3 linked regions of the Arabidopsis thaliana genome follow. The protein of the gene in region 1 interacts with the protein of each later gene in a pairwise test. Each region holds a gene or a part of one and is shown on either strand. Other genes may lie near its edges. The genes, in order: AUG2, AT1G19980 and AT3G06530.

What was found.
Region 2: the proteins of AUG2 (region 1) and AT1G19980 interact in a two-hybrid assay, tested with the Arabidopsis thaliana proteins (one large-scale study listed by BioGRID).
Region 3: the proteins of AUG2 (region 1) and AT3G06530 interact in a two-hybrid assay, tested with the Arabidopsis thaliana proteins (one large-scale study listed by BioGRID).

The regions. Positions count from the first base shown.
Region 1 is NC_003071.7:13,994,740-14,006,028, reverse strand, and holds AUG2 (HAUS augmin-like complex subunit), read left to right. Parts: upstream 1-6,079; 5' UTR 6,080-6,313; coding exon 6,314-6,436; intron 6,437-6,768; coding exon 6,769-6,894; intron 6,895-7,053; coding exon 7,054-7,158; intron 7,159-7,431; coding exon 7,432-7,500; intron 7,501-7,618; coding exon 7,619-7,732; intron 7,733-8,106; coding exon 8,107-8,460; 3' UTR 8,461-8,704; downstream 8,705-11,289. Other genes in the region: GH9B8 (glycosyl hydrolase 9B8), read right to left, coding at 185-853, 1,361-1,615, 1,725-2,138, 2,429-2,668; AT2G32970 (G1/S-specific cyclin-E protein), read left to right, coding at 10,964-11,019. UniProt on the Arabidopsis thaliana protein: Contributes to the assembly of the acentrosomal spindle and phragmoplast microtubule arrays as part of the augmin complex.
Region 2 is NC_003070.9:6,929,064-6,939,666, forward strand, and holds AT1G19980 (cytomatrix protein-like protein), read left to right. Parts: upstream 1-3,951; 5' UTR 3,952-4,098; coding exon 4,099-4,302; intron 4,303-4,425; coding exon 4,426-4,537; intron 4,538-4,632; coding exon 4,633-4,697; intron 4,698-4,789; coding exon 4,790-5,308; intron 5,309-5,451; coding exon 5,452-5,580; 3' UTR 5,581-5,990; downstream 5,991-10,603. Other genes in the region: AT1G19970 (ER lumen protein retaining receptor family protein), read right to left, coding at 2,131-2,179, 2,278-2,402, 2,482-2,562, 2,656-2,796, 3,006-3,205, 3,312-3,534; AT1G19990 (nucleolin), read left to right, coding at 6,264-6,548, 6,655-6,750, 6,841-6,911, 7,299-7,602; TAF11b (TBP-associated factor 11B), read right to left, coding at 7,835-8,357, 8,512-8,603; TUB5 (tubulin beta-5 chain), read right to left, coding at 8,970-9,652, 9,732-10,001.
Region 3 is NC_003074.8:2,016,469-2,027,792, forward strand, and holds the start of AT3G06530 (ARM repeat superfamily protein), read left to right. Parts: upstream 1-5,991; 5' UTR 5,992-6,127; coding exon 6,128-6,287; intron 6,288-6,375; coding exon 6,376-6,589; intron 6,590-6,671; coding exon 6,672-6,767; intron 6,768-6,858; coding exon 6,859-6,976; intron 6,977-7,066; coding exon 7,067-7,240; intron 7,241-7,333; coding exon 7,334-7,504; intron 7,505-7,675; coding exon 7,676-7,731; intron 7,732-7,822; coding exon 7,823-7,912; intron 7,913-8,000; coding exon 8,001-8,149; intron 8,150-8,252; coding exon 8,253-8,341; intron 8,342-8,421; coding exon 8,422-8,550; intron 8,551-8,635; coding exon 8,636-8,704; intron 8,705-8,803; coding exon 8,804-8,972; intron 8,973-9,069; coding exon 9,070-9,209; intron 9,210-9,294; coding exon 9,295-9,381; intron 9,382-9,496; coding exon 9,497-9,697; intron 9,698-9,843; coding exon 9,844-10,036; coding exon of another isoform or gene 10,037-10,053; intron 10,054-10,179; coding exon 10,180-10,277; intron 10,278-10,369; coding exon 10,370-10,513; and 7 more. Other genes in the region: SFR2 (Glycosyl hydrolase superfamily protein), read left to right, coding at 1-144, 381-657, 747-885, 1,005-1,171, 1,243-1,464, 1,552-2,056, 2,367-2,516, 2,618-2,747 and 1 more; AT3G06520 (agenet domain-containing protein), read left to right, coding at 3,816-4,253, 4,525-5,487. UniProt on the Arabidopsis thaliana protein: Involved in nucleolar processing of pre-18S ribosomal RNA. Involved in ribosome biosynthesis.

The sequences.
Region 1 (11,289 bases):
CTTCTTAACTAATAAAATTGACAAAAATCTATATTGATAATTGATATTTTATACACACTTTTTATTTAAAAACAAAACAAAAAAAAAAAGTTGAGAAGAAAAACTCTAACAATATAGAAATGGCAAAATGGGTGCAAAATAAAACCACATTTTCTTTCTTTTTTTTGTATTGATTAAATAAAAACTATCTCTTATAAGTTGCAACCAAGCTCACATCTTCTTCTTCAAGTTTTTGCTCCTCAAGCTCTATAAGTCTCGCAAACACACCGACCAAAGGAGCAGTATTGTACGTACAAGCCTCCGTTTGAACGTAATTACCCCTCCGGTCATCAAAATCATCCTGGTGATCCGGTCCTCCAACCAAAGCCCCGACTAAAACACTCGGATTTGGCTCGGACCGTCCATACCAATTATCATATCCTTGAGTACATCCTATAAAACCTTTGTGCTCTTTAAAAGAAGCGATAGACGCGCCTCGATGATGAACCCTAATCGGGTATTTTGGACCGTACCCGACTAGATAACTTGTTTCCATTGGATTTGATCCTAAAATGTAATCGATTTGAGATTTCGCAAAGCCAAGCATCTCGTCAGGAGTTACGGTTCCTTCGTGACACTCGAGATCGGTGTTTGATTTTCGGAGATGATCAGAATATACGGTTAGGAGGAAAGATGCTGTGGATACGTATTGCATATTGTTCCATTGTCGGACGTAGAGTAAACCGGCAGGAGTTCGCTGGACGTTTGTGCCGTTGATGTTCTTGTTGAGAATTGAGCATAGGTAATGATCCGCCTTTGATTTGTATTGTTGTAGGACTTTAGAATGTTGCTTGTGCTTTTCTTCTTTTAGCAACTGAAAAATGAGGCAAGTGTTGTTAGTGCTTAAAACTCAAGTAGAATTTCGTAGACTAGTTCATACATAAGAATATAGCTTCTTCTTTTTTTGTCAATCAGAATATAGCTAATTTATCAAGTAGGTTTAGAATCACGTGCCATAAAACAGAACCATTTAAAGAGACGTATCCGCTTAGACTTAGAGGAACAAAAGCACGTGACCTTTAGTTTTGTTTCTGCTTCATAACTAAACTTTTTTCTAAATGCTAGTACTAATATTTAGTTATAAAGTATTTCATTTGCATACAAAGAGAAAATATTTGAATAGTTGTTGTACATATGTAACGTGGGGTGGGGAATACCTTACTTTTGGTAATTCGACGTGAGAATATTTAAACTTGATAATCACTTCACATAAGGCAATTATAAGATTCTACTTAAATCTTAAATTAGACTACTAAGAGGTTAGTGCTATAAATATTTCACTTTTACCACACACAAAATTGAACAATATGTAAGTACTAACCATGGAAGCTAGGAGTTGAACACCGGCGAACTTGACGTCCCAGCTAAACTCGGACATGGCCCAAGAAAGGCCACCTAGTTGGTGAGCCATGTCAACCACATAACTCATATAGTGCTCATTGTCGGTGGCTCGATAAAGCCAAGTGGCACCCCATAAAAGCTCGTCCATGTACCCACTCACCGAGGCATAATAACTTTTCACAACTTTTAGACTCTCATCGTATTTTCCTCTGTACTTGTCTCCAAACTCAAACAACTACAACCAAAACCATAACCATAACTTATTTAAATGTCCTACCCAAAAACATTAAAATGTCTGTTCCAACTGTAACATTAAATTAAATTTAAAATGAGTATGTATGTACTTGTTGGGCATGGTGCAAGAGAAGGTGAGAGTAATGTGGATTTGTTGAACGGAAAACGATCGAAGCTGCCGCCATAGCCGCCGCAGTTTCTCCAGCGATATCTGATCCCGGATTATTCTCATCGATCTTGAAAGCTCTCCGTGAAGTCGTCATGTCCTCCGGTCTTTGCCAACAGTAGTGGTCAGTGTCACCGTCGCCAACTTCGGCCCATAAGACATTTGGGCTTGTGTGTGCCTTGATGAAGTAGTCTGTTCCCCACTTGATGGCTTCAAGCGCGTGAGATAACTCTCCGGTGGAAGCGAGTGAGTCACCGTACTCTATTACACTCCATGACAACATTGTCACCGTAAAAGCCATCGGAAGTCCAAATTTAACATGGTCTCCGGCGTCGTGATATCCTCCCACTAAATCAACCTTTATTACCAAAATTTTAAAATTAAAGTCACATCACAAAATAAAACAAATAATTAATTTCAATACTTAATTCACAAAAGGTTTTCAAGTCTCATTCCAAACCAAAGAAAATAATTTCTTTAAATGGAAATCTACAATAAATTTATGTATTATTTATAAATTAATACAAACAATAAATTTCAATTCTCTTATTAAAATTCAAACTAATGATAGTAAACTGAATTAGTTTGAATTCAAAAATAAAATTAATTAAAAAATAAAATGACAAGAGTTTTGAACAGAAAACAAACCCCTTGTTCAAGACCATCGGTGAGACCAGAGTGATCACGCCAAGTCACGCGCTGGTTGTACGGAAGTCTTCCTGATCTCTGAGCTTCAAAGTAGAGTAAGCTTTTAGACAATGCTTCACCGTAGTCAAACCCTCCGACGTCTGTCTCGGAAGAAACACCATCCAACGCGGCAGAGAAGACAGTGATCAGAAGGAGGAGGAGAAAATGACATTGCTTGTGTCGGTGATTCATCACAGTCATATTTGTGAAGATCTCTTTCTCTAGAAAGAAGTCTCTGTTGGAGATGAAGAGAGAGCGAGAGAGAGAAAGAAAGAAAGCGATGGACTCTCTCACTCACTAGTCTCTCTCTATTTCTCTGCTCTCGCAGGAGAGGGATATATTTGAAAGCTCTGTGGAGTGGTGGAGGAGAGAGATGACGTGACTTTGTTTTTATGGTTAACTTTTGTTTTTAATCTAAAATATTTCCACATGAGAAAATGTGGAGACTTTTGCTTTTTCCATATAGTGGTAATGGCCGTAATTTATGCAGCTAGTTATTGCTTTTACTGTGCTAAATCTAGACCGAATTAATTAAAAGTGCATGTAGTAAAGTCATTTTACATACTATTTACAATTGTTGAAATTTTACATTTGTACTGTGTGAGAGGGTGTTTTATGATACTTTTCCTAATGATTTCAATTTTTGTTTCAAAAGGTGGTGATAATTTCAATGTATTTAGCGATCTTGTGTAATTTTGAAAAGTAGAAGGAGAGTGTCAGTTGTTGATAGTGTAACAGTTAAAGTGGACGATTTTGTCTCTTAATTAGTTTCTCTTAATTATTTCAAGTTTCCATGAAACGGTCCAATTAATACTAATAAATTTTCGGAACCGTAGAATGTCATTGCTAGGCAGAGATTCGTTTCTGTTTCTGTCGTTAAGGCTGCTGTGTTAGGCGAGAGAATCGTGAATAGTAAGGCTAATTTCTCAAATCAAAACTTTGGTTTTGGCTGGGTTCACTGTTACAAATTATAAAGTTTACAAAAACTATCACAAATGTTAAACTCAAATCTGCAGAGTATGAATACTAATTTATTCACCTCTATTGATATCTAAAGCAAAAACACCAAACATTCAAAAATATAGGATGGATCTAAATGGGTTTGAAAGATGGACCTGGGTCATCTTAATATAAGTTTGCCCACCACCAATAAAAACTGAGGGGTATGACAATGGGGACTAAGAGACACCTACACGTGTGCAGTGCCTACAACCATAAATTTGGCAGTAATTCAGGTTTCCGGAGTTTCATGATGACCGGTTTAATTTAGCGGTTTATCTTTTTTCCGAGCACCGACATTTTCAAAGTGGGCCTAACTATTTGTTACCTTCGAGCTAGCTCGACCGACAACTTGGTCAAAATAATTTGACTTGAGCGAACCAAAAAGGTGATTAGCGCCACTAAGCATGGAGACGTAAAAATTGTTAACGGGGAACATGCGTTTATTTGTTTATCATTACTTGTATCATTTAACTATATGAATAGCTGTTGACAAACTAATTAATTTTCATGTTGATCCACAACAAAATTCGTTTATACACTTTCATTATACTGTATCTTTTATAAAATAAAGTTAGTTTTTAAAATTAGTTTCGATTTGATGTTATATTATAAAATTTATATAAAGTTTACATTAAAAATCCTACTCGATATTCTTTTAAAATGTCTTTTTTTTTTAAATGGATTTTCTCTGTTTTTATTAGTGAACTTTTTCTTCAAAAAGATGACTATAGTTTCAAATGTGTTAAATTAATCAGACGGCAACTAATGTGGAAAAAAACAAAGTAATTCATATGATTAAGTTGTGTTGCATGCTGGTTTAATAAAGCTTTCTTTTTCAGTTTTCCTAGTCTTCCTCTTAATTTTTTTTTTTTTTTTTTTCAGTTTCCTAGTCTAGTTTTTGCTACGATTCAGTTTTCTTTCAAAGGATGTATATAAAAAGAAATGTTGTTAAAAATCAGTGAGCCCCAAGTGCATTTTTTGAGTTATTCTTCAGTAGACTGGCAGAAGAACGTTCTTTTCAAAGATAGTAGCTTGATCAGTTGTCGCAAGAACAATATTCTTTCAAATATTCATGAGTAGAAAAAGATGGTCGTTTCCTATCGTCTTGAGTCGCAAACCATTAATAACTTAATTAAAATGTTTAAAACAAATAAAACGCCTCTTAGTTGTGATAATCCAGTCGTTAAATATCAGTCTTATAAAGTTTAACTATGCATTGATTATTCGCTTAGCTTATGCATAAAATTTTATTCGGCATCTGGTGTGTGGTGTGGTTCGTGCAACCCGCTCAATTAACTCCGAATCTATGGAATTAATAATGTTGTCGTTGGTGGTTCCCATATTCCAAAAGAAAGAAAAAAACTAAATTATTTTCAAATGATTGAGCGCCACGTGTCTCTTCGTACCAGCACATCACCGACGACCTCAAGCTCCAAAGTTACACTATATATTCCACCTTACTAGTTACTACGATAGTATTTTAAGACAATATTTAAGGAACTTTATTACTTGTTTTTTGATAAAGAAATGAGAAGATGGGAATCGAACCCATTACTTAGCTTGAGTATAATATCATAAAGGAACCAAATGAGCTGCGAATAAACTTTATTAACCCCATATGTCTAGCTTATTTGGTGAGTACGAGAAGGATTGAATTTTGCTTGTTGTTGGTGCTGAGTTCAAACTTTCATTTGGGAAAGGATGGTTTAATTTCATTTGGGAAAACTTAAATTCTTGTTTATTTAAGCAGATTTGATGTGTTTATTTTTCTTGATAATTATTTTAGATTCATATGACAAGAGTCGGTCGATGAAATTTCTATGCATGGGTTTTGTTTTCTCTCCCTCTCTCTCTTAAATCCATGCAGAATAAAAAAATTGGCGATCCATAATAATGCAGAATATTAAATGCAAGGTATAAAATAAATAAATGTAACAATCAAATCCCAATGTTTTTAGTTAATAAATATGTTAATAACCAGATCTGTCAAATCTTTGATATTAAAGAGTCTTTTAGTATAAAGTGAAGAACTTTTTATTAGATCAAAATATGTTTTTTTGCTTCTAGACGTTCCATATTTCATAAATCTCCCACCGACGGTCTCACATTGTTTCGACTTTACAATTAATAAACGTGCCATAAGCTAGAAGCTTCTCAGAGCAATCTTATTAAAAACAATCTTAAGAAAGATTCAAGCTTTATTAATTTAGAAATAAGCTAAGAATTTATATACAGCTCAGCTCATGATTTCTTTATATATATAAAAAAGAAACTTAATATATAACTCGTAAAAAGCTTTATGTATTGTACAAAGAAATGAAAAAGGGAAAGACTAATTGAAAAACACCAAACATTTTTTTTTTTTTTTTTTTATCCATATCAAGGTTACCATATATTGATGTTATAATTTCTAAATACAAATATATTTAAATTCTCGTTATTCAACAACATTTTTTCATAATGGCATATCAACAATACTAATACAAACCACTAGTTTCTATTACATTGGTTGGTTTTTGTCGGGTTGCTTTCGTTCCGTCACGTAGCAGATCTCAGTGTCCATATTTCTCGACCGTCCGTAATAGCATGTTGGGCTATCTTCAGCATATTTCTGGGCTAAGCCCATTTTGGTCTTCGGTTCTTCTTCAGATGTATTTTTGTGAAGTTGTTGGATGACTTACAATTTTACATATACAAAAGTAAAGTATAAATTACTGAAGTAGGAAAAAAAGAAAAGAGTTTAATGGCATGACGAAAAGTTTTTGAATATTTTTGAATTTGGTTTTATATATAACAATCTGGATCCGCCACCGTCGAATTAATCTCCGGAAAGCTCGTCGAAAGATGTCGATGGGAGGCGACACGACGTGGGTTGGGAAGAAGCCGATCAGACGCATCGGTGGATTATCTGATGCTCTCTCTATCGCCTCCGATCTCGGTTTCGCCGTCGCTCCTCCTCCGTCGCAGGTAACTTCTCTTGTTCACTTTAATCTCATCCGAATCGGAATTGCGTCTCCGGTTAGTTCCATTAGCTTGAGTATAGCATATGCTTTGGGTTGTATGCTATTAGATTGACTTTGCAGAACAATGCGTATGAGAGATCTATAATTTGAAGGAGATTATGTTTCTGAGGAATGAGGAATTTTAGCTGCTTGTTAGTTTTGCGAATCTCTGGACCATATGTTTTGATTAGATCTTTGATCTCTTGGCTTTTATATACTGAATCTGAATTTTTCATCAAGTAGAGAATATTTATGGTTAGTTATCTCTTCAATTGGCTCAATCATTTTCCGATGTAGGAAGAATTACAAAGCTTTGCGTCTTCGAATGGGGAAAGAGGTGATGATTTGATAAGGGTATTGAGAGAGTTATCTGTTGTTCAAAGGAAAATTGCAGACTTGCAGGTCGAGCTTCAAGGGAGGAAGGTATCTTTCTCATGGTTTTGGTTTCTTTTTCAAATTGAAATAAGATATGGATCATAGTATTTGCATTGCCTGAAGCCTTATGATAACTTATTGGTATATCTCATGTAACAACTTTTGTTAGATGCTTTGTATATAACTTCTTTTGTTGGCGAATTTCAGGATGATAAAAATGTGGCGCATTTGACTCATGTTGGTGAAATGCAAAAGAAAATCGAGACTTTGTCAAGGATTACTCAAATATTGAAAGATGTTATACAAAACAAGGTAGGATCATTTTTCCTTTCTACTTACCTCTAAAATCTTCTCTCTCTTTTTTTTCTGGACTAAGGTTTATGTATCTTTCGAGTTCATTTATCTCTCTTTTCTGTCTTTAAGCGATATCCCTCTTATTCACTATCGTTCTGAAAATTGAGAAAATTCCTTAAGATGTTTTCGAAACATTAGCTTCTGAGTACGTCTTAAGACTGCCTTATCTTTTAGTCAATTTGTGACCCTCTAGTTGAAGTTTATTACATCATTTGTCTGTTTATATAACAGGATCGCATCATTGCTCGTCTCCAACAACCTTATTCGCTAGATTGCATTCCAGTTGAAGCAGAATATCAGGTGATTCATGCCATTTTATACTATTTGCAACTTTGAGGACCTTATTTAGTATCTGAAGTTGCACAACTGGAAAACGAAGATGCTATGTTTAATGGCTTTGTTCTGCTTTGTTTTTCAGAAACAATTCTCAGAGTTGCTAATGAAAGCCGCCAGTGATTATGGCGCCTTAACAGCATCCGTGTCTGATTTTCAGTGGAGCCAAAACTTTAAAGAACCTCCTTCAGTCTGGGGGGTACGATTTTACTCTCTTTTACATGCATCTTGATTTTTTTTCCATTTACATCTTTGACTTTCAGACATAACTCCACATGTTTAGTTGCATACATTGGATTACTCATTTCAGTTGGAATCTAATACATTGTTCATAGTGTAAGAGGAAAGCACTGTATTACACTACGCCATGCGTTAACTGTATAGAATACATTGCAGAAGGATCAGTTGTGTCATCAGGTCCTTGAATTAGATTTCTATGTGTTTAAACTCTTTGCATCAAGAGAGAAGGAGATTGCTACTTTTACGTAATGTGTTGCATAACAGTTGTTGATTTCGGTTTTACATGCTATAATCTCAATCTCTCTACTCTTTTTTTCCCCAACAAAATTATAGGAAATGCTGCGTCCAATACCTGTGGCACTAGCGTCATGCACGAGATTCTTTGAGGCCATGTCTGCGATGAGAGAATCATTCGCGACTCTTCAAGAGCTTCGAGTTGGTAACTCTGCAGTTTCTTTACCAACAACACCAGGAGGTAACGAAATGACACATAGAGACTCAGATTGTGTGACTCCACCTCAAGGGAGGATAGAGTCAAGCTTCGACGATTTAGCTGTTCATAAAACAAGGAGACAAAACAATGATCAAAATGAAGAAGAAGAAGAAGAAGAAGAAGAAGAAGATGGTAATAACAATGGGAACCGGAGACTATCTTGGCCTCCTTCTGTAAAAAAGAGTAGCGTTTAAACAGTTGCTTTTGTCTTTGCTTGAGCTTTTTAATATCGATCGTGTTTTGTTTCATCAGCATTAGTGTTCTTTATGGATTTACTTATTTCTATTTGATAGTCTTTGAGTGAAACTTAAAACAGTGTATATTTTGTTAACACTGGTTTTCATGGTCCATGTGACTATCATATTTTAGTCTGTTCGTTTGTTCGCCGCTTGCGGCTGCGGCAGACCGCGGCAAAACTACCGCAAAATTAAAATATTTCATAGATGTGGGAATTGTTTTAGTCGAGAAATCTAAAGAGGGGTCTATAAAAAAAGGATTAGCATTCATAGGCACAATCGTTCCACTAAATAACTCGTATGGTCTAAATATTGTAGTATGTAGACTGTAGAGAGTAGACCATGAATTTAAGACAACTTTAATTGAGAACCGGTGGCACCTAATCATATTTTAGCCACCTAGTTACATAGCCCGGTCTGGTCTTAAAAGTAGTTTGTGTAAATTGGACAATAAAACCTCATATATCATTTACATGATATTTAAACTGTAAAACTCATCACTATTTAAAACTATAAAACGAACCACAAAAGTGTTTGCAATAAAAAAAATACCACTTATATATAAAATTCATATCAGATTAGATTGCATAGGTTCACTGCCAATCCATGGCCAACATTTCTAAATGATATACAGTACATGAAAGACTATTATATTCAACTATTCAAAGTTATCTGATGGAAAATTATTACATGAAATCAAATAAGTAGTTGAATCTGGATGATCGATCTCAATATTCATATTAAAATGGAACACACTTTTGTTGTTAGAGTATTGATATAATGCATGTAACGTGAAATTGCAATAATGCATCATATATAGGTTTATATAGATTAACTGAGAGACATCACTTGCGTTGGTTACTCAATAATTACGTAGCTAAAATTAATAAAGCGGCGTTAAGGACCCACCCACGAGCTCTATCTATATATTTCCGTGGTTTTTGTATTCGAAACAGAATCGATCACATACGTCCAAATTTTGATTTGTTCCTGGCCCACTCCTTATCCTTACGCGCCCGAACGCGTGTCCTTTTAAATTGACTCTTTCATATAACCAAAATATCAGACCAACCTCTGGTTTATTCGGTTTAGCGATTATACTCATTATTACACATTTTCCAGACACACAAATTGAGATTATTTAATTTCTCACATTTCAAGTATATATTAAATTTCGGATGCGTGCAATTAAATGAAACGAATAAATATGTGCAAGCGATTAATGTACCGACGCAGGCGATGAATATTCGTATTTCTCGCAACTTTAAATGTCGATGATACACTTTTCAAAGCATAACTTTAATGTCAAATGTCAATTCATTGTCCATGCGTCCATTTCCCACTCTCGACACCTATTTTCATGTCTTAAATTCTTGATTTATTGCTTCATTTTTGATTTTTATTTTTATTTTGTTGTTTACAATTCATTATTTCTTGTTCATTTTCTGTAAGACATTTGACAAATTATACAAAAGAATCGAATCTACAAAACATATTCTAATCTAAACAACAAAATCTAAATCTAACAGTCTCAAAAATATTTGACAATCATGCAAATATGTTACAGATAATATCAATTTTTCATGATGCGAGAAAATACCATTTTAGTGCTCATTGAATAAAGATGCATTATTAGTTTGCGGCTTTTCAGAAGACATCAAGTCTCAAAGGACCATTATGTAATTTGAAGAAAATAGGAAACTACACGCGCCTGCCAAAGAAGGACCTTATCCCACGCGTTTATATATCTTCCAATCCATAAGCAGAGCTTCTCTTCAACGTGCTCCGGTGAAGATTAAAAACCGACGAGACCCTGGCGCCATCACAACTACGCAATCTCATTCCTCCGTCTTCTTCGGCTTTCAAATTTACCATTTTACCCTTCTCTTTCCCTGAGACGTCTTCTTTGGAAATATTCTTCTCTTCTTCCATTCCAAGTAAACCCAAATTCTCTCTCTCTCTCTATCTCTCAAATTTCAAATTCCGGATTTATTGATTCTCTGGTGATAAACCTAAACCTCTGGTTTTGATTTGTGGTTGTTATTGTTGCTACATTAATGGTGCTTTTAATTTTTTCTCTGATCCATTTCTCGCCGTGTGATTTCAAATTTCTCCGGCTGTTTTTGTTCGCCGGCGGGCGGTGTTGATTCGATTCTATACGATTTGAATTTCCTTTTTCTTTAGGTTTTAGAGTTTCCTTTTCTATTAAGTAATCACACAATTTTACAAATTTGTTCCTAAATTTATTTATGTCATTTTACCAACTAACTACCATTAATTTGTATAAAACTCGTCGGCAATAGCTTCATGACCTCTTTCTCTCAAGGCTAAGCTCTTGTAATCTCTGTTGAGAATTTGTTGTGGAGTATGATGATAATGACGAATAATCTGGAATTACGTCTTTCGATTTTTCAGTGATTTTGAGGTTAATTGGAAATTAGAGTGCAAAATTGGGATTTAGATGGGGATTGCTGATGAATCTAAATGTGTTTTCCCCTTGACGAGTCTCCAGATCGGGTAATTTTATCTATCTATTTGATCTGCATTGCCGCTTTTTTTTTTTTTTATAAGTTATGATTCACAGGATCAATGATTCTGCAGTTAATTACGTGACCTGTTTTTGAATGAAGTACAAGCTTGTTGAGCCTTTAATTGGAAAACTATGTTGTCTTTCCAGACAAAACAAGATCTGTTTTTGTGGTTTTGACAATTTATTATCTAAGTTCTGCAATTAAAGCTATCACTTATTTGTGTTTCTTTCATTATCTTGATTCCAGGCTTATGTTC
Region 2 (10,603 bases), on another chromosome or scaffold:
ATATATTTTGGGTTGTCATTTATATATGAGCAGATCAACAGACTCAGAGGGTCTCTAGCTAATTTCATCACAAATCACAAAACCAGTTATTAATATATGAATCATGAATGTACTATTCTATACACCAAAAACTTGAAACCAATTGAACTGGTCTTATTTTAATATTCGACATAATTAAACAGAATTAGTCTTAATAAACTCAGAGAAATGATAAAGTAATTGAACTTAGTTATGATTATCAGGTGTTGTTTAATCTTAAAGTAGAAGACATAATCATAACTGTCTTAAGTTATTGTACCAACAAGTATAACTTATAATTAGAAACCCCTCATCCTCTACTCATTTCATCAAAAGCATCTGCTCTTGTTTGTAGAAACATACTCAAATTTTAAATCAAACTCTTGTTTTGTTCTCTTGGCAATATTCATTTTTTTTATAAGTTTTTTTATAAGTTTTTTTTTTGCTACGGAATGGTCCTTAATCTTCGTCACTAATTAACTAGCTAGGTCAAACCCAAGTGCACAATGTATCTGAAGCTGCAGGACCACAACTTAGTTTCAACACCATATATAATAATTATACTTACTAGTACTTCGGCTTTTAGTTTTGCCTTAATTACATATATAATCAGCCAATGATTAACCGTTTATTAATTCTCGGCATCATGTTTCGTCACTGTCAACGAAGGTCGGTCTCTTAAAATTAAATTCAGCATTATCCATGCGATAACATAAGCTACTTCTAAATTTTCTACAAATTAAAATAGTAAAAGTTTTCCCTTCTCTTGAATCTTTACAAATTTTTGTTTTAAATCTATATGATTTTTGTCCAGTACTTTCTTGGTTGGTCTACCAAAGTAATCATAATAAATTTATTTAATGTATCCTGAAGATGTTACATGATTAATCCTTACATATATTCATCTATATCCAAGTTTCGTATACACAAAAAAGGTCACTTTGCCGAAGACAAAGGAAGCCCATACAAATGATTTGTTCACATGCAACCTTCACTTATTCTCTCAAGTCTCAACTTGCTTTTTTCATTAACGTTTATATTAATCCTTCAAATATCAATATTTTAATATTTTAAAACCCAATATCAAATATTTATGTAAAGAAAATATAGATTATGAAAAGCTCCTAACAACCCCTTACAATGTGTATAAATAAGTCTATAAATACGAGCATCACAATCAAACAAAACACATGCAAGACAGGCTATAAGAGACTTTATAATATACACCAAACTATGCAAAAACCATTTCAGAGAGCTCATCCTAACACACACTCGCACTCCTTCACCATTCATATAAACGAACCATTTAATCATCATCGTTACTTGGACCATCATCATAATCACAATACCTTCATAGGTTTATCTTCATCAATGAAGCTCTTCTCCAAATTCCGCAAAATTTTCATGAAGATCATCTTCGCGCTTCCTTCTTCCTCCTCCGCAACCGTACGTCCTCACAAAACCGCTGACTTCGGCAATGGTTGTGATAGGCTAGAGACGCCGAAGATATCGTGCAGTAATTCATACTACTCCTCACAATCTCACTACAGTGAAGCTATCTCAGATTGTATAGACTTTTTCAATAAGTCTCAACAAGAAAGTGAAGACCGGATTGCTCATGATCACGACCGTTTTTACGTTTAGTCAAACTTCAAAGAAAAATAATGATCTCATGTCTTTTCTTCTTCTAGATAACTCAAAATTTTCTTCTCTTAAGCTCAAACTCTTATTAATCTGTATTCACAGTCTCTGCATGTTTCCCTGAAAGTAAATCTCGAGTTCAAATAACCAAAATGGACCTCACAATTGTTGTCTTCCATGAATGTTAGAGAACATCGAGACTTATATTTGTTGATCCGTTTCCAACCAATTTTAAAGGAAGCAGGTTGTGTTTAGTTCTTTCCACTATCATTCCAAGAGACCAAGAGTTGTAACTGTAAGCGTTGTGTATCAAATCATATGATCGTGGAGTCAAAACGTCATCACAACTAAAATCTGAATTAACATTAATGCTTCTTTGCTATCAAAAACTTTTAAATCATACGAGTGTCTCAAAATCCCTAATCATTAAACCTCTCCACAAGCTCAAGCACTCCATTTTCGCAGAGCTTTTTACACCACACCAGACGGGAGTCGAAGAACGAGCTGTCCACCCATTAAACTGTTCCCAAAAACAGAACAAATTCTAAATCTTTAGACATTCAAAACATTTCAACAATATCGCGATTATATAATGGGCGTGGACCAAACGTTTTTTACCTCTGAACATAGTAATAGCAGAAATCTGCAAGAATGAAGGTTTGGACTATTTCAGAGATGAGGACCATTACAGGCCACAGTCCAGACCCTAATGCAGTCAGTAACCGCCCTCGCGTATCCAACACCTACAAGCGTTTAAATCATTTTTAGAAACATTACAATATGGAGATATGTGTAGCCTAACAAGGATAAAAACTCCAGAACCTGAAGGATCCAGTGTGCACAACTCAAGAACCTAGCAATTCCCAAAGCAAATACGTAATGTGCAGTGAATGGTTCCACAATCTGCGAAAAAAGACATAACATTCAAGAAAGATTCAGACTCAGCACTGTGGTAGCAAAAAGCTCAAGGCTTTAAAGCGCAGTAGTATCGAGTACCTTAGTGTTCTGCATGACTCTTAATTGAGGAAGAACTGAAACAGCTTCAAGATAAACACAGAATGCCCAAGAAATCCTGTTTATGATGTGGTGACGTGTTGATGGATGAATGAAGAAAGACAGAACAGCACATGGGATTACCTGAAGCAAATCAGAGTAAAGCTCTCAAAACAAACATTACATCGCCATGAAGATTCTCAACAACAATCAATATACAAGTTCCAAAGTTCTTTTTATGATATAAACTAACCAAGTTGAAATTGTGAACTCATACATTATTCTATTACACAAGTTCAACACTCAAAAACACATTTAACATAATCTATCAACAAAGAGTTTGGTAAACTTACGACGAAATAGATAGCAAAATTGTCTTTATCTTCCATATAAGTAGGTCTAAGCTTGAAACGGATCATATAAACGACCCAAAGAGTGGTCACCAAAGTAGCTGAATCAAGAAATGTATGAAGATCAAACTCCATTACAAAGCTACAATACAATCTCACAGCCAGAAACAAAGCCGTTAGCTCCTGTGTCTTGAGAGATATCCCTGTTTTAAATCATCAATTTTCAAAATGTCAAAATCAATGAAACAAATTAGCCCATCACATACTTTGAGAATCAAATCTAATCAAGCCATTCTTAAAACCTAATACCAGCACAAGTCTTCTCCTTTGTGAGCTTATAGATAAGAACAGCGATACCAACGGCATGTACAGCCTCAGAAGCGACGAAAAGATTGTCGTGTTCATGAACAATCACCCTGAGGAGAACAAGCACCGTCATTGCCGTTACCACGCCAAGAAAAGCCTTTACTTTTGGCGGTTGCCGGCGAATCCACGCCATTACGGACTGAATCGGATTCTTCTCCGCCTTCATCGTTCGGACAAGATCTCTTTCTCTCTCTCCCTCGCTCAGATCAAATGTGTGATTAATGAATGATTATCACACAACTTCGTCTTCGTATTGAATTGGGGAATGAATGATCTGTAGAATTCTTAACGCAACCATACAATGGCAATGCCATTACTTTCGCGAGGAAGACACGTGGAAGCTGTTAGGTGAGAGACTGATAGTTTCTTGTTAACTTTGGCTTCGTCTCTTCTTGTCTGATGCATCTATCGTATTTATTACACTAAACCGGTTTGGTTTGAACGAAAGAATTTACAAAACCAGTTTAACTAATTTGGCACGTGTGATCGATCGTGTGGTGAAGAACGAGCCCATTAACGGCCCAATGAAGAGCGCGTGTGGCTTTAAAACTTTATATGCACCGAATCTCTCTTTTTTTTTTCTGGTCTTGCAACTTCTAATTCTTCTAACGGTCTTATATCTCTCTAGAAAATCTCTCTCTCTCTCTCTACAATTTTTTTCTTCTTCTTCTTAAAATTCTTCTGTGAAGTGTGCTTCTTCAATTGGTAATTCGAATTTGGGTTTTTTGAGATGGTTGTGAAATCGGTTTCTGGAGATTCGTCGGAACGGGAAAACTGGGAAACGATTTTCAAGAGTTTGGTCAAGATTTTACAGACGAAACAGGACCAGCTTGAGTCGCTTCTCAAAGACAAGAAGATTCTTGAAAGTGAGATCAAGACTAATAACGAAAATTGGCTCTCTGATGTTCGAAATTACGAGGATCAACTCTCTCTGGTAAAAACCCCCTTTTTGATTCCTTGTTTCAGATAAAGTTAGGTTTTTTAGGGTTTCGCTCTCTCCTAAACAATTTTGAAGTGTAATGCTCTTAATTCCTCTGAAATTTTCAATTGTTTTCAGATGATGAAAGAAATTGAAACGACTAAGATGTTTCAGTTACTGGAGACCTATAAAAGCAATCTCTTGTGTGGCTTAAAGGAGAAAGATCGTTCTCTTTGCAATTTGAAACTAGGTGAGTGGCTTATTTGGTAACAGATTATAATAAAGTTTGTTCCTTTCGTTTTCTACAACATGTGAAGCTTCATGAAACCAATTTGGAAACTGCAGAGCATTCGCTGGATGAGTTAAAAGACTTCAAGGCTTGGTTTGATTTCCTCACTCTGAATACAAATGTAAGTGAAAGTTTCAATTTTTGTAAGCTCTTCTGTGTTTTCTTGTTTTAGGATCTCATACAATGCTTGTTGGTTTTATATAAAATGTGCAGGTGGAGAGTGTAAGTGGCAATTCAGAAGGTACGGCTATTAAGTCATTGGAAGCAAAAATCAGAAAACTGAAACTTGAGTATGAGAAGCTTGCTTCTGAAAAGAAATGTGAGGTATCTGATCTTTTACGAGAAAACGGGTTTGCGTGGAATCAGTTCAAATGTATCGAGAGTGAATTCACTGATAAGTTAAAGAGGAAAGATGATGAGATCGTTCAAGCGAATACGAAAATTTCCAGTCTTATATCTTATCAAGAGCAGCTTCAGTCATCTAATCAAGAGAAGGATGAGACTATCTCAAGGTTAAAGGCTAAGATGGCTGAAATGGAGACCAATTCTACTAAGAAAGATGAGGAAATCTCAAAACTCACAAGGGATCTAGAGTCTGCAAAGAAGTCTCGTGGGTTCACACCGGTTTTAACTCGATGCACCAAACTTGAAAAGCGTAGCAATGGAAATACGGTGGGATCTCATATATCTACTAAGAAAGACAAGTCTGCTGCATCAACAACAAATGAAAAGGTATAGATTTGAATATGCTTGAGGTCTGTGTGTTTTTAAATTCTTAGGAGCCGAGAGAACAGAAGGATTATATACATTGTTTAATTAATTTCGATCATCTTACAGCAGAAACATGTTGATTAACTTTTGAATCTTTTGATCAGGTAAGCAAAAGCTCAAAGAGGAAAAGAGCGAAGAACATGACACCGGTCTCGGTTTCAGAAGTCCCAAAGCTCTTCACTTCGACTTTTAGGCTTCCCAAGTTGAAGTCTCCATCTAATGGAGCCATATAAATTATTAGAGAATTTAGGTTATTGAAATCTGCATGTAACCTATTTGTATTTAGGATCAAGCCCCTGATGTATATCATGCAACTGACCAGTGACCACACCCATTAGCATCTAGTATAACTCTTACATTAGTTTCTTTAGGAAGCTCATATTGCATCTAGCAGCTGTGTTTATTTCCTCTGTATTATTGTGTCTTGAAGCTTAACCAAAGAAGAAAACAGCAATGGCGGAACATCTGCCAATGCAACAAAGATTTCAAGCGGCTTTGAAGAAGATTTTTTTTCCGGTTTTATTTTGTTTATAGCTGAGAATTCCCTCTTGTATGGATTTGATATTTTGAATAAGATCATTTGCTTCTTGGTATTGGTGTTGTATGTCGAATCACTGAGTGTGAAAGTGAGCTTTCTGCTTCGCACCAATTCAAATCCAACTTCGATTCTGTATACAACAAGTATGGCTTATTGCAGAAACGTTTCGTATTTAACCGGTTTCTTCTTTAAACCGCTAAATTTCGGTCCGGTTCAGTGGAATGATTTTGCTTTTGGGTTTAAACGACGCCGTCTCCAAGCCTCCTCTTATTTTTGGATTAGGGCACAATTGACGGAGGAACACAGCGGTTTCTCTTCTCAAATCTCTCACAAAAATTTCATCAAAGGTTTCGACTTTTTTTGATTTGGTAGAAGAAGATGCCACCTTCGGAGGATGTGAAAGCTATGAAGATGAAAGAGGAGGCTGAGGAAGACAATAAGAGCTTGAGTTCCTTTGCGAAGAAGAAACCCACGAACGGTAACAATGCTGGTTCGAAGAAATTGAAGAAAGAAGAGAACGATGACGATGATGATGATAACAAACCTATCAAGTCATCTGTATCTGGGTCTCGAGCTAAGCCAGTGAAGAAGAAGGAAGAGATTGATAAAGACGATGAGAAGAAGCCTGTTTCTAAGAGGAATTCTTCTGTTGGTGTCTCAAAGGTTCGATTTTTATTTCTTTCTCTCTCTGTTTGAGTATAAATATTGAGGATGGTAAAATATTTGATGAGGCATTGTTTTGATTATGAGTCTCTCTCTTTGTTTATAGGAGAATAAGAAACCAGAGAAAGAAGAAGAAGTAAAGAAAAAGAGAGAAAGAAAAGTATATGATTTGCCTGGTCAGAAGAGAGAGCAGCCTGATGAGGTATTTTTTTGCTGCTCTGTTTCTCTGCTTTTTAGATTTGTTGTTGAATTCGTCTGAAGAATTTCTTTTGTTGATTTTGCAATTCTGCAGAGAGATCCACTTAGGATTTTCTACGAGTCACTTTACAAACAAATTCCCACTAGCGACATGGCTCAGATTTGGTAAGCTCTTCTATTCCTTTCTCTGCCTTACATTGTTCTGCAACTTTAAAACACTTACACTTAATGTTTTGTGTTTGGTATGTATCTGATTATTTGTGTTTGATCACTCAATCTGCAAACTGAGTCCTACACCTTAAATTATTCTTTTGGGACTTGATGCATACTTGCGTTTGATTTTCGATGGTCTCTTGTGTTTTGCGACACGGTTTAAGCTAGTTCGCATAAATTTTGAACATCATAATTGGACTCACATTGTATGTAAGAAAGGGGAGTCCTTTCAAACCAGTCACTCAAAGCATTGATTATATGATCTGTGATGGTTATGTGTAATATTTGCTTTTAGATTGCTTTGTTTATTTGAAAACCCTTTTGTGGTTTTGATCACAGGTTGATGGAGTCTGGATTGCTTCCAGCCGAAAAAGCAAAGAAAGTTCTTGAGAAGAAACTGCAAAAGGGTGGAAAATTAAGTTCTCCAGTAAAATCTGCTGCTTCTACTCCAAGAAGCAACTCCAAATCAGTGACCGTGAAGAAGAAGGAAGTACAAAAGTCGCCATCTGAAGCTTTGTCAAACAAAAAGAAGGGAAATGATTCGAAACCAACCACGAAGAAGAGGAAGAAGAACTCTGATGATGACGACTCAGATGATGATTTTTTGGCTAGCAGAGTCTCTAAAAAGGCTAGAGCCAAGTAGGTTGAATTAAAAGACTGAAATCTCATTGTGTTATTTGTAATCGTTTCTTAGGGAGTCAATTTGTAGAATGCTTGAAAGGTGAATTCTTTAAGAGTAATGAGAGAGATGGCCAATTGTTTCTGATCTTATCGTGTACTTCTTTAGTTATTAAGCAAAGACTTAATCACGTTTGGTTTAGAGCATGATAGTTACTCTTCGTCCATGTCACTACTTTGTAACCTCGTCATTCTGACTAGCGAAAAAGCCGTTGAACTGATCTTTGAGGCACTTTTCCTTGGAGCTTTAGTCTTCGATATGACTCTCTGATATGGCAAGGTCTAATAGGTCCTGATTCCTTCCTTTCCCTCATAACAACTCGAGCTGTTTCCACAAGGTCGCCAACAAACATCTTTGCGATACCACGCACAACGATGTTCATAGTGTCGTCCATCTTCGGACCCCCTGTGATTCTCTGTACCAACTTCTCCATGTCTGATTTCTTAAAACCAGATCTTCTGAAAGATTCATATCTGCTCATTTGTTCCTCTGTAAATTGTGATAAAATCTTCTGCATCTTGTTGGCTCTAGTCACAGGATCAGCACCAGTTATGTTTTTGGTGAACTCAACTTCATCTTTGTTCTTCGCTTCAGCAACAACGGACGTTTTACATTTCTTCACAGCTCTCTCATCTCCTTCAAGAGTCTGCTCGGTTTCAACAGGTGATTCCTCTTGCTCCTCCATTGCTGCTTCAAACGGATCCTTCGAATGCTTCATTCTTAATAAAACCTTAACGAAAATCACATATCTTTGGATCTTAAAACTCCAAAATTCAGCCAATTTTTTTGTTGCACATCCGACCACACTAGAAAAAATCCGACATGAACATGAACTCAAAGAAATCAATTTTTTGTACTTGTAATTACAAGTACCTTGGCACTGGCTGATCTTTCAGACAATTGCAGTTACAAGTAACCCGCTCGTTGCTACTAGCAAAACAACAAGACCTTGCGTTAAAGGCCATTTATTGTCAAGCCTATTTTTTAAGAAGCCCAAATGTAAAAGTCGGTGGGAAATGAAGTATCTTTATTTATAGAGGCAAAAGTTTAGCTTCCTTTATACTAATTTACTCGATGTGGGACAATTGAGAGAAGTGTAAAATTTATATACTACACAGTAGCTTGAGAAGCAAGGACGTATTATCTCAAATGGAAAATACAAGACACCCAAAATAAATGGAAACTTCAAACTTTCTTTGAACAAATTACTCAAACAAAAAACACATTTAAACAAATTTCCCATTTTTTCAATGTTTTTCAATCAAATTTAAATAGAGAGATTTCCAAGAGTCGTTTCCTTGTCTTTTAAGTAAAATGTTTGATTTGGTGGATCAAGTCTCATAATCTCCCTCCTCTTCTTCTTCAACATCATACTCACCTTCCTCATCAGCAGTAGCATCTTGGTACTGTTGGTATTCAGCGACCAAATCATTCATATTGCTCTCAGCTTCCGTAAACTCCATTTCGTCCATTCCTTCTCCTGTGTACCAATGCAGAAACGCTTTACGCCTAAACATAGCCGTGAACTGCTCACTCACTCTCCTGAACATTTCTTGAATCGACGTCGAGTTACCCACAAACGTCGCCGCCATTTTGAGCCCCTTTGGTGGGATATCACAAACGCTGGATTTCACGTTGTTTGGGATCCACTCAACGAAGTAAGACGAGTTCTTGTTCTGTATGTTTAGGATTTGCTCGTCGACTTCTTTTGTGCTCATCTGTCCTCTGAAAATAGCAGAGGCTGTGAGGTAACGTCCGTGACGTGGATCAGCTGCACACATCATGTTTTTGGAGTCCCACATTTGTTGAGTCAGCTCAGGAACGGTGAGTGAGATGTATTGTTGCGAGCCACGGGAAGTGAGGGGCGCAAAACCCACCATGAAGAAATGGAGACGAGGGAATGGGATTAGGTTCACCGCGAGTTTCCTGAGGTCAGAGTTTAGTTGTCCGGGGAACCTTAAGGAGCAAGTCACACCGCTCATTGTTGCGGAGATCAAATGGTTCAAGTCTCCAACTACATCATCATGCAATGTATCAGAATTAGTTTTAAATACATTTTGGGTTAATGGAGGATAAGAATTGGGTGTACTTACAGCTAGGAGTGCTGAGTTTGAGGGTACGGAAGCAGATATCGTAGAGAGCTTCATTGTCGAGGACCATGCATTCATCAGCGTTCTCTACAAGCTGATGGACAGAGAGAGTTGCATTGTAAGGCTCAACGACTGTGTCAGAGACTTTAGGAGATGGGAAAACAGAGAAAGTGAGCATCATTCTGTCTGGATACTCCTCTCGGATCTTCGATATCAATAGTGTTCCCATTCCTGAACCTGTGCCTCCTCCCAACGAATGGCACACCTGAAACCCTGTAAAATAATGCAGCCCCATGATTCACATAGTATTGGTTCCATCGATGAGACGAAAAAGTGTTCATATATAGTCAAGCAAACATCTTGTTACTAGTCCTTGCTAACTAAATCAACTATAATGTTTATGTGAATCTACAATGCTTTAAAACAATAATCAATGAATCTACAATATGCGTTAAAAAATATTTCTCCCCAATAATAACAATGCACACTAGTAGTCATAGACTCATAGTTATAATTGAAGTTAAATAATCAATGTATAAAACGAATCACGTGAGACCTGACCAAAAGTAACTAAAAAAACGAATCACGTGAGATTGTTGTTTGGGCTCCACAAGCATTATCTATAAACTCTAAAGGCAAAAGAGATTTTTATTAACTTTTTACTACAAAATTCCAAGAAATCTATATGATGTAGTAGGACCACTCCATCTTTTATCCCGTAATCACGGTGCCTTGAAAATGTTTTGATCACGACATCACAATGATATAATATCTTATCTCTGAAGCTTTAATATGAAGAAAAAAACTTGACAAAAAAATATCTCAATACTATACAAAACAGCTTGGCCCTACCAATAATAAGTGCTAACATCCCA
Region 3 (11,324 bases), on another chromosome or scaffold:
TAATTAAGGTCGCCGGACTTTTGGCCACTGTCACCGTTGGAGCCAACGTAGTTTCCTACTCTCGTTTCCGTCGCCAGAATCTCGCGAAGTTTCGCTCTCCAATCGACGAATCTAAAGAAGTTCTCGCTGATTTCAATTCCATTGGTAAGAAGCTCTCTCATCTTCTCCGACTCCGATTAGTATTACTGTGAAATGTGTTCTTCCTTCTGGTTTAAGTTGTTGAGCTTGATGTTCTGGAACTCTTTTAGTTAAACGATTTCTCCCTTTTCTGCATTATTTTGGACTCAGACCAATCTAAAACAATATCCTCTGCGTTTGATTCAGTTAATGTAGAATTTAAATTATTTGTGAAGGAATTGATTTTAACATGTTTGTTTCAGAACACGAGGAAGGAAAATTCTTCTTTGGGTTAGCTACTGCACCTGCTCATGCGGAGGATGATTTAGATGATGCTTGGCTCCAGTTTGCTAAAGAAACACCATGTTCAGCAGAAGAAGCAGAGGCTGCTGATAAGAAAGCTAGGAGGAAGAAGGTTAAGCTTGCTGTGGGAGCTATAACCAAAGGCTTGGCCAAGAACACTCATGGCAAAGAAGATAAGAATGCAGCTGATAAGCCACCCTCTAAAAATGTTGCCGCGTGGCATAACGCTCCTCACGCGTGAGATTTCTAACATCAGTTTCACCAAGATTGTTGATGCATGTATAGTAAACATTAGTGTCGACAGCTCAAAGTTCAATTTGTTTCAGGGAGGACAGGCTTAAATTTTGGTCAGATCCTGACAAAGAAGTGAAGCTAGCCAAAGATACTGGCGTTACTGTCTTTAGGATGGGAGTCGATTGGTCTAGGATCATGCCAGTTGAGCCCACCAAAGGAATTAAGGAAGCAGTGAGTCAAGAAAATATTATGACACGTTATGTTTTACATATACTATATGTGTCAATGCATTTTCTTTTGTTTTGCCATTTTTTGCTAAAACTTTGTATTTCTATTGTTATGCTTTGTAGGTTAACTATGAGGCTGTCGAACACTATAAATGGATACTTAAAAAAGTTCGTTCAAATGGAATGAAGGTGATGCTAACGCTGTTTCATCATTCATTGCCACCATGGGCAGCTGACTATGGTGGCTGGAAAATGGAGAAGACAGTCGACTACTTTATGGACTTTACCAGGTGACTGTCTCATCAAATGAGCTATTTATGGACATTCTGTAGGTCTTAATCATCTTTCTATAACATGCCAGGATTGTTGTGGATTCCATGTATGATTTGGTAGACTCTTGGGTAACATTTAATGAACCCCATATCTTCACCATGCTTACCTACATGTGTGGATCTTGGCCCGGTAACAACCCTGATTTTCTGGAGATAGCTACATCTACTCTACCAATGGGTGTATTCCATCGAGCCTTACACTGGATGGCTGTTGCTCACTCAAAGGCCTATGACTACATCCATGGGAAAATGTTAGTTTTTCTCCTTTTTCTTAAAAAAAAATCCTATGAATTTCTCTCACTAGCACATCTTAATAGTTTCCAACTCTTATTTTGCAGTTCTTTGAAAAAACCTTTGGTAGGGGTTGCGCACCACGTCTCCTTTATGCGACCATATGGGCTCTTTGATATCGGGGCTGTTACCATTAGTAATTCCCTCACTATATTTCCATATATCGATAGCATTTGTGAGAAGTTGGATTTCATAGGCATCAACTACTACGGACAGGTAAGAGAGCTACAAGTAAAAATTGCTATTAGGTCTCAAATTTTGATTAATAATATTGCTTTCTCTCGAATAAGTATGTTGGAATCTGACTCGAGAAATCAGGAAGCAGTGTGTGGTGCTGGACTAAAGCTTGTAGAGACTGATGAATACAGTGAATCGGGAAGAGGGGTATATCCTGATGGTCTCTACCGCGTGTTGTTGATGTTCCACGAGAGATACAAACACCTGAAAGTTCCTTTTATCGTCACAGAAAATGGCGTGTCTGATGAAACAGATGTGATTCGACGACCTTACCTGATCGAGCATCTCCTTGCCTTATATGCTGCAATGCTAAAGGTCTTTGTCCCTGAAACTCTCTGAATCATGCAAAACGTTATTTCCAGCTTAACTATTGAAATTTGGTAGCATTGTTGTGATGAGCCTGGTCTGTTAAAACCTCATCTAGACCTCAAAATCCAGCCATGATTTTAGTCCACGGGCCATCCTGGACCCATTAAGGCAAAATGGCGGGTACCTGGCTCATCCAGCATGTGACGGGCTTAGACTCAAAAAGGTCATCCGTTGCAGGGCTGGGCTGGCTTTGGGTCGCCATAACAACCCTACGTATTGGCATATCTCTCACTTGTGTTTGTGGCTTTCACAACAGGGTGTTCCTGTGCTCGGTTACATATTCTGGACTATTTCGGACAATTGGGAATGGGCTGATGGATATGGTCCAAAATTTGGACTTGTTGCGGTTGACCGATCCCATGATCTTGCCCGAACTCTTCGGCAATCATACCATCTCTTTTCCAAGGTTTATTATAACCCCTTGTGGTTTTTACTACGCTTGAGAGTTGAGATCACCAGATCGCTGTTCGTCTCATATGGCTTTTGTGTTTTCCTTGCTCTTTCCAGATAGTTAAAAGTGGAAAAGTCACTCGGAAAGATCGGTCTCTTGCATGGAACGAACTCCAAAAAGCTGCCAAAGCAGGAAAACTACGGCCATTCTACCGAGGCGTTGATAATCATAATCTTATGTACGCAGGTTGGTTTACAACTTCCAACCTTGCGTATTTTTTTTTTGTTTTTCCAACTTTTACTTTATATAATCTTACTTCCAAGGCTTTGTTTTGTTTGTTTAAAAGATGGTCTCGACAAGCCTCAATGGAGACCGTTTGTTGACCGCGACTGGCGGTTTGGTCACTACCAAATGGATGGTCTTCAAGACCCGTTGAGTCGCGTGGCTCGAACCCTTCTCATATGGCCGCTTATCATGAAAAAGAGGATAAGAAAAGTTAAGATCAAGCACACCGATGATGCTGGGCTTGTTCTACATCCTGCTTTAGCCTCACCCTTTGACTAGAGAAAGAGGTAGAAGAAATCCGAGTGTACAAACTCATTTCCCTGTATGATTTGCCAAACCTTTGGGCCTTTGGCGCCATTAGAGACGATTCACCGTTTTGTTGTTAATGTTTAAATAAAGGCAAAACGGCATGATGTTCGGATGAGGTGCTTTGTTTTTTACATACGCCTCGGGACTTTAACCAACGACATTTGGTTGGACCAATTAATAGTAAGTTTAACCGACCCAATGTCCGGTTTTTGTTCAGCTTGATACCTTACCCTGGTTGGAACTTGGAAACGGCAAGCATTCAGCTATTTGTATAAAAAGGAAAGGTGGAAAAACTACACGACTTCTCTGGAGCAAAATTTTAGGATGAGGTAGGCTAGGCCCATTTTAATGTCCATGAGTGATTTACTAGACTTGAGATCCACGGTAGTCCCAGATCAACGGCTCTTATTTTGACACGTGAACAAAACACAAAAAACACCTCGCGTTGTGATCTGAAGGATAAAGAAAAACAACAGGACGTTGTATTACATAAATTAGAAACGAGGTGCTGTTTTGGTGTTTTCCTTTTTTCGGCATTGACCTATCTTGACCGACTCATAATATAAGCATGCTTGTGTCGCCACTGTCTCTTTCTCTATATATAATAGCTCTCACTCTTCTCTGATTTTCTTCTGTTGAATCAAGGTCTCTGGAAATTTCATCATCTTCAGTCTTACTCCTATCCCTATTTTCTCGTTGGGTTGCACAAATTGTTTACTGATGACGAGCGATCGATTTTGGCGCGGCGGTGACCGCGTTGAGGTGGAACGACTAGTTTCTGGCGCGACGGCATATTTTCCGGCGAGTGTTGTTAGCGCGCCTTCGGTGAGAAAGAAACTCGTTTGGGTGGAGCATGAATCCCTAACTGTTGGAGGTTCCGTTTCCGTACGTATGAAGGAGTACGTCACTCCCACGCGCCTCCGTCCATCTCCACCGCGTGAACTCAACAGACGGTTCAAAGCTGACGATGAGGTCGATGTCTTCAGAGATAGCGAAGGTTGCTGGGTTAGAGGCAATGTTACGACCGTACTTGAAGATTCAAGGTACATTGTGGAGTTTAAAGGGGAAAATCGTCCAGAAATAGAGGTTGATCAGTTCAATTTGAGGCTTCATCGTGAATGGCTAGATGGTGGGTGGGTTCCTTCTCTTCTCCAACAGGTAAAACATTTCTCTGCGTTTGAATTGAATCTAGGGTTTGTAGAAAAATAGTGAATTTAATGTTTTAGGGATTAAGATACATTGAAAGATTTGACGAATTAATTGTAAATTTAGTAAAACCAAAAAAAAAAAAAAAAAAAAAAAAAAAAAAAAATTGTAAATTTAGAAAAAAGACTTAATTATACTATATATACTGTATGTCAAGCAATTTGAATTTGAAGATTTGTTGGAATTTGGCATAATAAACTCACACTGCTTTTTTGATTTACAGAGCAATTTCTCGGAATCGACAGCCCAAAGAATTAAACTGAAGATAAAAATCAAGAGAAGAGATCAATATGAGAAGGGAGCTCTTGTCGAAGTCAGAAGTGAAGAAAAAGCTTACAAGGGTTCTTGGTATTGTGCTCGTATACTTTGTTTATTAGGTGATGATAAGTACATTGTTGAACACTTGAAATTTAGTAGAGATGATGGTGAGTCGATCCCTCTGAGAGATGTGGTAGAAGCCAAGGACATAAGACCAGTTCCTCCTTCAGAACTCTCGCCTGTTGTGTGCTATGAACCAGGGGTTATAGTTGATGCTTGGTTCAACAAACGGTGGTGGACCAGTAGGGTTTCCAAAGTCCTAGGAGGAGGTTCTAATAAGTATTCAGTTTTTATCATCTCAACTGGTGAAGAAACGACAATCTTAAATTTCAACTTAAGGCCCCACAAAGATTGGATCAATGGACAATGGGTCATTCCTTCCAAGGTATTGACTGATGTGCCGGAAGAATGTTACAAACCTCCATTGAAGAAGCTGAAATCTTGTGAGAGAGCAGAGAAGGTGTTTAACAATGGAATGGAGGTGGAAGTTAGAAGCGACGAACCAGGTTACGAAGCCTCATGGTTCTCTGCAAAGATCGTAAGTTACTTGGGCGAAAACAGATACACAGTGGAGTATCAAACACTAAAAACAGACGATGAAAGAGAGTTGTTGAAGGAAGAAGCAAGAGGTTCAGATATAAGACCTCCTCCTCCTCCACTGATTCCAAAGGGGTATCGATATGAATTGTATGAACTTGTGGATGCTTGGTACAATGAAGGATGGTGGTCTGGTCGAGTATATAAGATAAACAACAACAAAACGAGATATGGTGTCTACTTCCAAACGACTGATGAGAGTTTGGAGTTTGCTTACAATGACCTTAGGCCTTGCCAAGTGTGGAGAAACGGAAAATGGAGTCGTGTATAAGGATGAGAAGAAGTTGGCTAACGGTTACAACTATTAATGAAGAGGATAAGGAAAATGACTTGTTTATAGTACATTTTTTGTTTATGAACATATGTTTGAAGTTGATGATGTCGTTAATTGTCTGCGTATAATATAATATTTAACTTCTAATGAAAGAGGTCAGGTGTTAAGTTTCTTTTTTGTTCTCTGTTCTCACTTCCATTTTACTGAAATTCTTGGATAGATGGGTTTGTTAATCTTGGCAAATGTGATGTGAACAGTGATTGTATCTTGACTTTCTTACACTTGTTTCAAGACTTTCTCGATTGAGGAATTAAAACGCACAGTTTTGTAATAGTAGCGGCAGATTAGAGATGGGCTTTATTATCAAGTTGTAAAACTATTGGGGTTTAAATTCGAAAAACAAAAAAATAGGTCATGGTTTAAAACGCAATTCCATTATAACTCAGGGGTTTCCTTGTTTCTTTATATTACTATATCTTCCAGATTAAAAATAAAAGGATCGTTAAACCCTAAACCCGCTTCTTCTTCTTCTTTCTCTTCTTCTCCCTCAACGCCGCTCTCTATCTCTCTATCTCTCTCTACCTCAAACTTATTCTTCGAATTTCCTCTGAAGAATAATCTTATCCCAATAGCGAGTATGAGTTCTTCAATAGTGTCACAGTTACAGGCTCTCAAGTCAGTGTTACAAGCCGATACAGAGCCTTCCAAGAGACCTTTCACACGCCCTTCGATTCTCTTCAGTCCTAAAGAAGCAGCTGATTTCGATATCGAATCAATTTACGAGCTCGGGCTCAAAGGTATGTTCTCTTCTCCTATTATGCAATTCTAATGAACAAGCTCAATGATAAATTAAATTCTCATCGTTAATTATTTTTGTTAATTCAGGTCTAGAAGTACTTGGAAACAAAGATGAGAGGTTTAAAAATTACATGAACGACTTGTTTAGTCATAAAAGTAAAGAAATTGATAGGGAATTGCTGGGTAAAGAAGAAAATGCTCGGATTGATTCATCAATCAGTTCGTATCTACGTTTACTCTCTGGTTATCTTCAATTTCGTGCTTCCTTGGAGACCCTTGAGTATCTCATACGACGATACAAGTATGTGTTTCCTTATCACTATTGGTTATGTATATTTGCCTTTGTTCGTTCATCGAATTGTCCTAATTGCTCTATATTTCAGGATTCATATATACAACTTGGAAGATGTGGTTCTATGCGCCTTGCCATACCATGACACACATGCCTTTGTCCGCATTGTTCAACTGCTTTCTACTGGGTGAGTATATATCTTTCACTTTCGATTTCGAAGTGAAGTCTCACAATTTATCATATCGATTAGTAAACCCTGGTTCTCATTTGCTTTACAGAAATTCCAAGTGGAAATTTCTGGATGGTGTTAAAAATTCAGGTGCTCCACCTCCTAGATCGGTTATCGTTCAGCAATGTATACGTGATAAACAAGTTTTGGAGGCCTTGTGTGACTATGTAAGTAGCTGTTAATATTTTTTTTCCCTATAAACTGGTTTTTGAATGGCTACATCAAACTGAACATCTGAAATCTTGGTTACATTGTAGGCATCTCGTACTAAGAAGTATCAGCCTTCAAAACCTGTGGTTAGCTTCTCCACCGCAGTTGTTGTTGGGGTGCTCGGTTCAGTTCCAACTGTTGATGGAGATATTGTAAAGACGATTTTGCCATTTGTGGACTCTGGTCTTCAATCTGGTGTGAAAGGATGTTTAGATCAACAGGTTTTTTAGTGGTTTTCTTACCAAATATTTTTCTCTAATTGATTTTGTTATTCAGTTGATGTGCCTTTTATGACAAACTTTATATGGTTCTAGGCTGGAGCGTTAATGGTTGTTGGCATGTTGGCAAACAGAGCTGTGCTAAATACTAATCTTATCAAGCGCTTGATGAGGTCCATCATCGACATTGGTCGTGAACATGCCAAGGAATCTTCTGACCCGCATTCGCTTCGATTGTCACTTATGGCCTTGATCAATTTTGTTCAGGTGCAATAACTTTCTGTCATCATGAACTTCTTACATTTTAATTTTCGATATCACGAATGTATAAACTTCTAAGTATGAGGTGGACATATTTTCTATTCCTCACTGAGGATTCTGCTCACAAGTGGTTGGTGTTGATTGTTTTAAACAATTAATTTTCTGAATCAACTACAGCTGCAATCTGTGGACTTGATCCCAAGGAAAGCATTGGATCTTTTTAACGAAATAAGGTATCTGAATATGAACAGTCTTCCTTCTGAAGCTTTTTTTAATTGTAACTATTACTAGTATTTTTTCAACGATGGCTTCAATTTTGTGCAGAGATATTTCTGGTGTTCTTTTAGGCTTGTCCAAAGAGTTCAACATCAAAAGATTCCTGGCAGTGCTACTGGATTCTTTACTTTTTTACAGGTGTATATCAAACACTGTTTTGTCATTTTCAAGCGGATGGATTTATTTTGTTAGTATTCATGTGTGATTTACTGTCATCTTGTTGCAGTTCGTCTGATGATAAATGCTGCGAAGTTTTAGCTTCAATAATTGAGACTGTTCCCGTAAGCAATTTGGTTGATCATTTGATCTCCAAGGTTTTCTCTTTATGTATGACACAATACCAGAAGAACAGTGATTTTAGATCTTCTACATCTGGTTAGTGATATGTCAACTACTTATGTCATTGAGTTTTGGGTGTTCATTTTTGAAGATTCTTTTTCAGATTCCTCTTTATATAACCAATATTGTTGCAATTTAGTTGTAGGAAGCTGGGCCAAGAAATTTCTGGTTGTTGTAAGCAAGAAGTATCCTGCTGAACTACGTGCCGCAGTTCCTAAATTTTTAGAGGTCTGTGCTCCAACTCTCATTTAGTTATTTTCCTTTGTGTTTGTTATATGGTCTTCTGAGTCATCGACTTCTTGTTGCAGGCTACTGAAGTTCAGTCGAAGAAAGAGGATTTAAAGCTAGAGATGTTGTCTTGTATGCTGGATGGGAATTCAGACATGTCTCACCCGTTTGTGGATTCAAAATTGTGGTTCCGGCTCCACCATCCCAGGGTACTATAACCTCTAATCTTAGTTATGTGAATAAAATTTTTTATTTACTTTTTGCGCAAGACTGAGGGCTTCTTATAAATAATAGGCTGCTGTACGTTGTGCCGCGCTTTCTAGTCTAAATGGTGTTCTCAAGGATGATAGCTCTAAAGCAGAGGTATGTGTGGGGTACTCATTCCAAGTATTTTTTGTTTCTTTACTTTGACTTCATGTCATCTTACTGTTCTTCAATATCTTTTTTACCCTCTCCATCCAGAACCTTGTCACAATTCAGGATGCTATACTGCGTCAGCTTTGGGATGATGATCTGGCTGTTGTTCAGGCTGCCCTCTCTTTCGATAAGTTGCCCAATATAATAACCTCTTCTGGTCTTCTGGATGCTTTGCTTCATGTGGTGAAACGATGTGTTGGCATTCTCGTATCAGGTGAATAAAGATGCTCTGTTCTTTTCTTAACTTGTTTCAAGTGTGGAATTTTCATATGTTCAGTTAGTTTACCTCGCACTATCCATTCTTGTTGCAGGAGTATCACATAATGTTCAACTGGCAGTTGATGTTGTTGCTTTGTCTCTTAAAATTGCTGTCTCAAGCTTCGGTAATCAAACAGACTCTACTGAGAAAGTTACCTCTGCAATGTTCCCATTTCTCTTAATTCAGCCGAAGGTTCTTTCTTGTTCTCTTCATTTTCTACAGCTATGGCGAAAGTCTTGTTACTTCTACTAATTGCTGTAATCATGTCTTTTAATAGACGTGGAATTTAAATCTACTTGTGCTAAAGTTGGGAAAGGATGTTAACTGGCCACTTTTCAAGAATCTTGCTGCTGATGATGGAATGGTAAATATGAGTTTACGATTTTACTATCCTTCAATACTCCAAGTCGCAATCACAAATCTTTTAATGGTTGTTGAATATTATTATCATGTCATCTGAAAAAGAAAAATTGTTGCAGAAAAAGCTCCCCGATATCATGTCTACAAACTTATCCTCAATTAGCATGGATATTATTAACGATTTGGGAGAAGCACTCTCCTTGGATCCTGATGAGCGTAGGATTGAGCTTATTGAGAGAGCGTGCAACTATAAGCTCTCTGAAGTTTTGGAAACATGCAGCAATATCAAATGTTCAGAACAGGATCGTAACAAGTTGCAGGTTTGTCATTACTATACTGTTTTCGTAAAAAAAACTTCCAAGTCCGCATTGCTATTTCAATATTTTAACCTATTTCTTGTCTTCACATACTTGGTATACTATTATTCGTTGTTTCTGAGATTTTATAAATGGTTATTTCATATCAGAAGGGACTACTGATCCGTGAAAGTGTGTCCGCATTGAACATAGATGTCATTAACAAGCTGGTGGAAGCATTTATGATGCACCCTGCTGATTATATTCAGTGGCTTACTGTCAGTTGCCGAGATTCCACCTTGTCAAAGACACTGTTTTATATGATTTTGATGCATTCCCTGCAGAAGATGAATTCTTCATCTGGTAAGCTTCTGTCCATAGTACTGCGTTAACATACATGCTGATGTTAAAGTCTTTTTTTTCATTTCTAAGCACCGTAGAAAACTTGGTCTTACATGATTTTAACCACGATATGATGCTGATGGCTGTGTTTTCCTTTGATTTAGACCCTAGTCAACTTTTGGATCTTTTCGAACTTTGCTTTCCTGTTTTGAAGACTGAGTGGGAAGAACTTGAGGTCGAGGTTGATGTTTCTCTGAAAGAGGTATAGAATTCTACCAGCTGATGTAATATTTTCATCTGATGGTTGATACATATATTATCTTGTTAGTTGATATATTTGTGTATTACTTGCAGCTGTCGAAAAGCAACTGCCAAGAACTCCTATATCAACTCCTTGATACCTCTGATTTTACTGCTCTGAATTCGAAGGTTCTGATATGCTTGTTTTGGAAGTTGGGCGAGTCATTCATTAAACTTGAACCTGCCCACGATGCTTCGGTGGGTGATGCTCAACCATGATCTCGTTATATTTGGTTATATTGAAATTTTTTCTACCCAACCAATTGCAATGCTCACAACTGTATTTGTGTCACTTCACCTTTGTTTAGGTTTTGAACAAAAGGTTATCTAGCGGACTTGAGGATTTGTTTTTCTTTTTTGCAACAACTCGGTTGCGGCATGTCTTCAAGGAACACCTTCATTTCCGTGTGAGAGAAGCCAAAGTCTGTCCTGTTTTGTTTCTATCCCGACTGATCTCACGAGAAGGTTTGCATGGAAATTTATATTTCCTGCTAGTTTATAATTGATGTTATAAACTACTGATCCCACTTTTTATTAGTTGATAATTCTCTCGTCTGTTTTATGCTGTTAAGGCTCGTGGAATCTATTATCTGGTAACTGTTTCTGTTTATTTCGTATCCTGTTTTCTTATGCTGCAGTCTTCTTCTTGCAGATGTTCCTCCTCTTGTCCAAATTGAAAGTCTCAGATGTTTTTCGTATCTTTGCTCTAGCGGGAATAATGAATGGTTGATTCAAGTTTTTTCAAGCTTTCCTGTACTTTTGGTTCCCATGTCAAGTGATAATCAGGTGACATTTGAAATTTTCTTTCTTTTTATGGTTAAACTTTTTGCATTATCTTCCTTTTCTTCGGTATTCGTTTTGATCTCGTTACATTCACTCTGTAGGACGTTAAAGCAGCTGCCATTAATTGTATCGAGGCACTCTTCAACCTTCGGTGTCGTGTCGAATCTAGCAAAAAAAATGGTAATCTTAGTTTGGTATGAGATGTCATGTTTTTTGTAACTTGTTT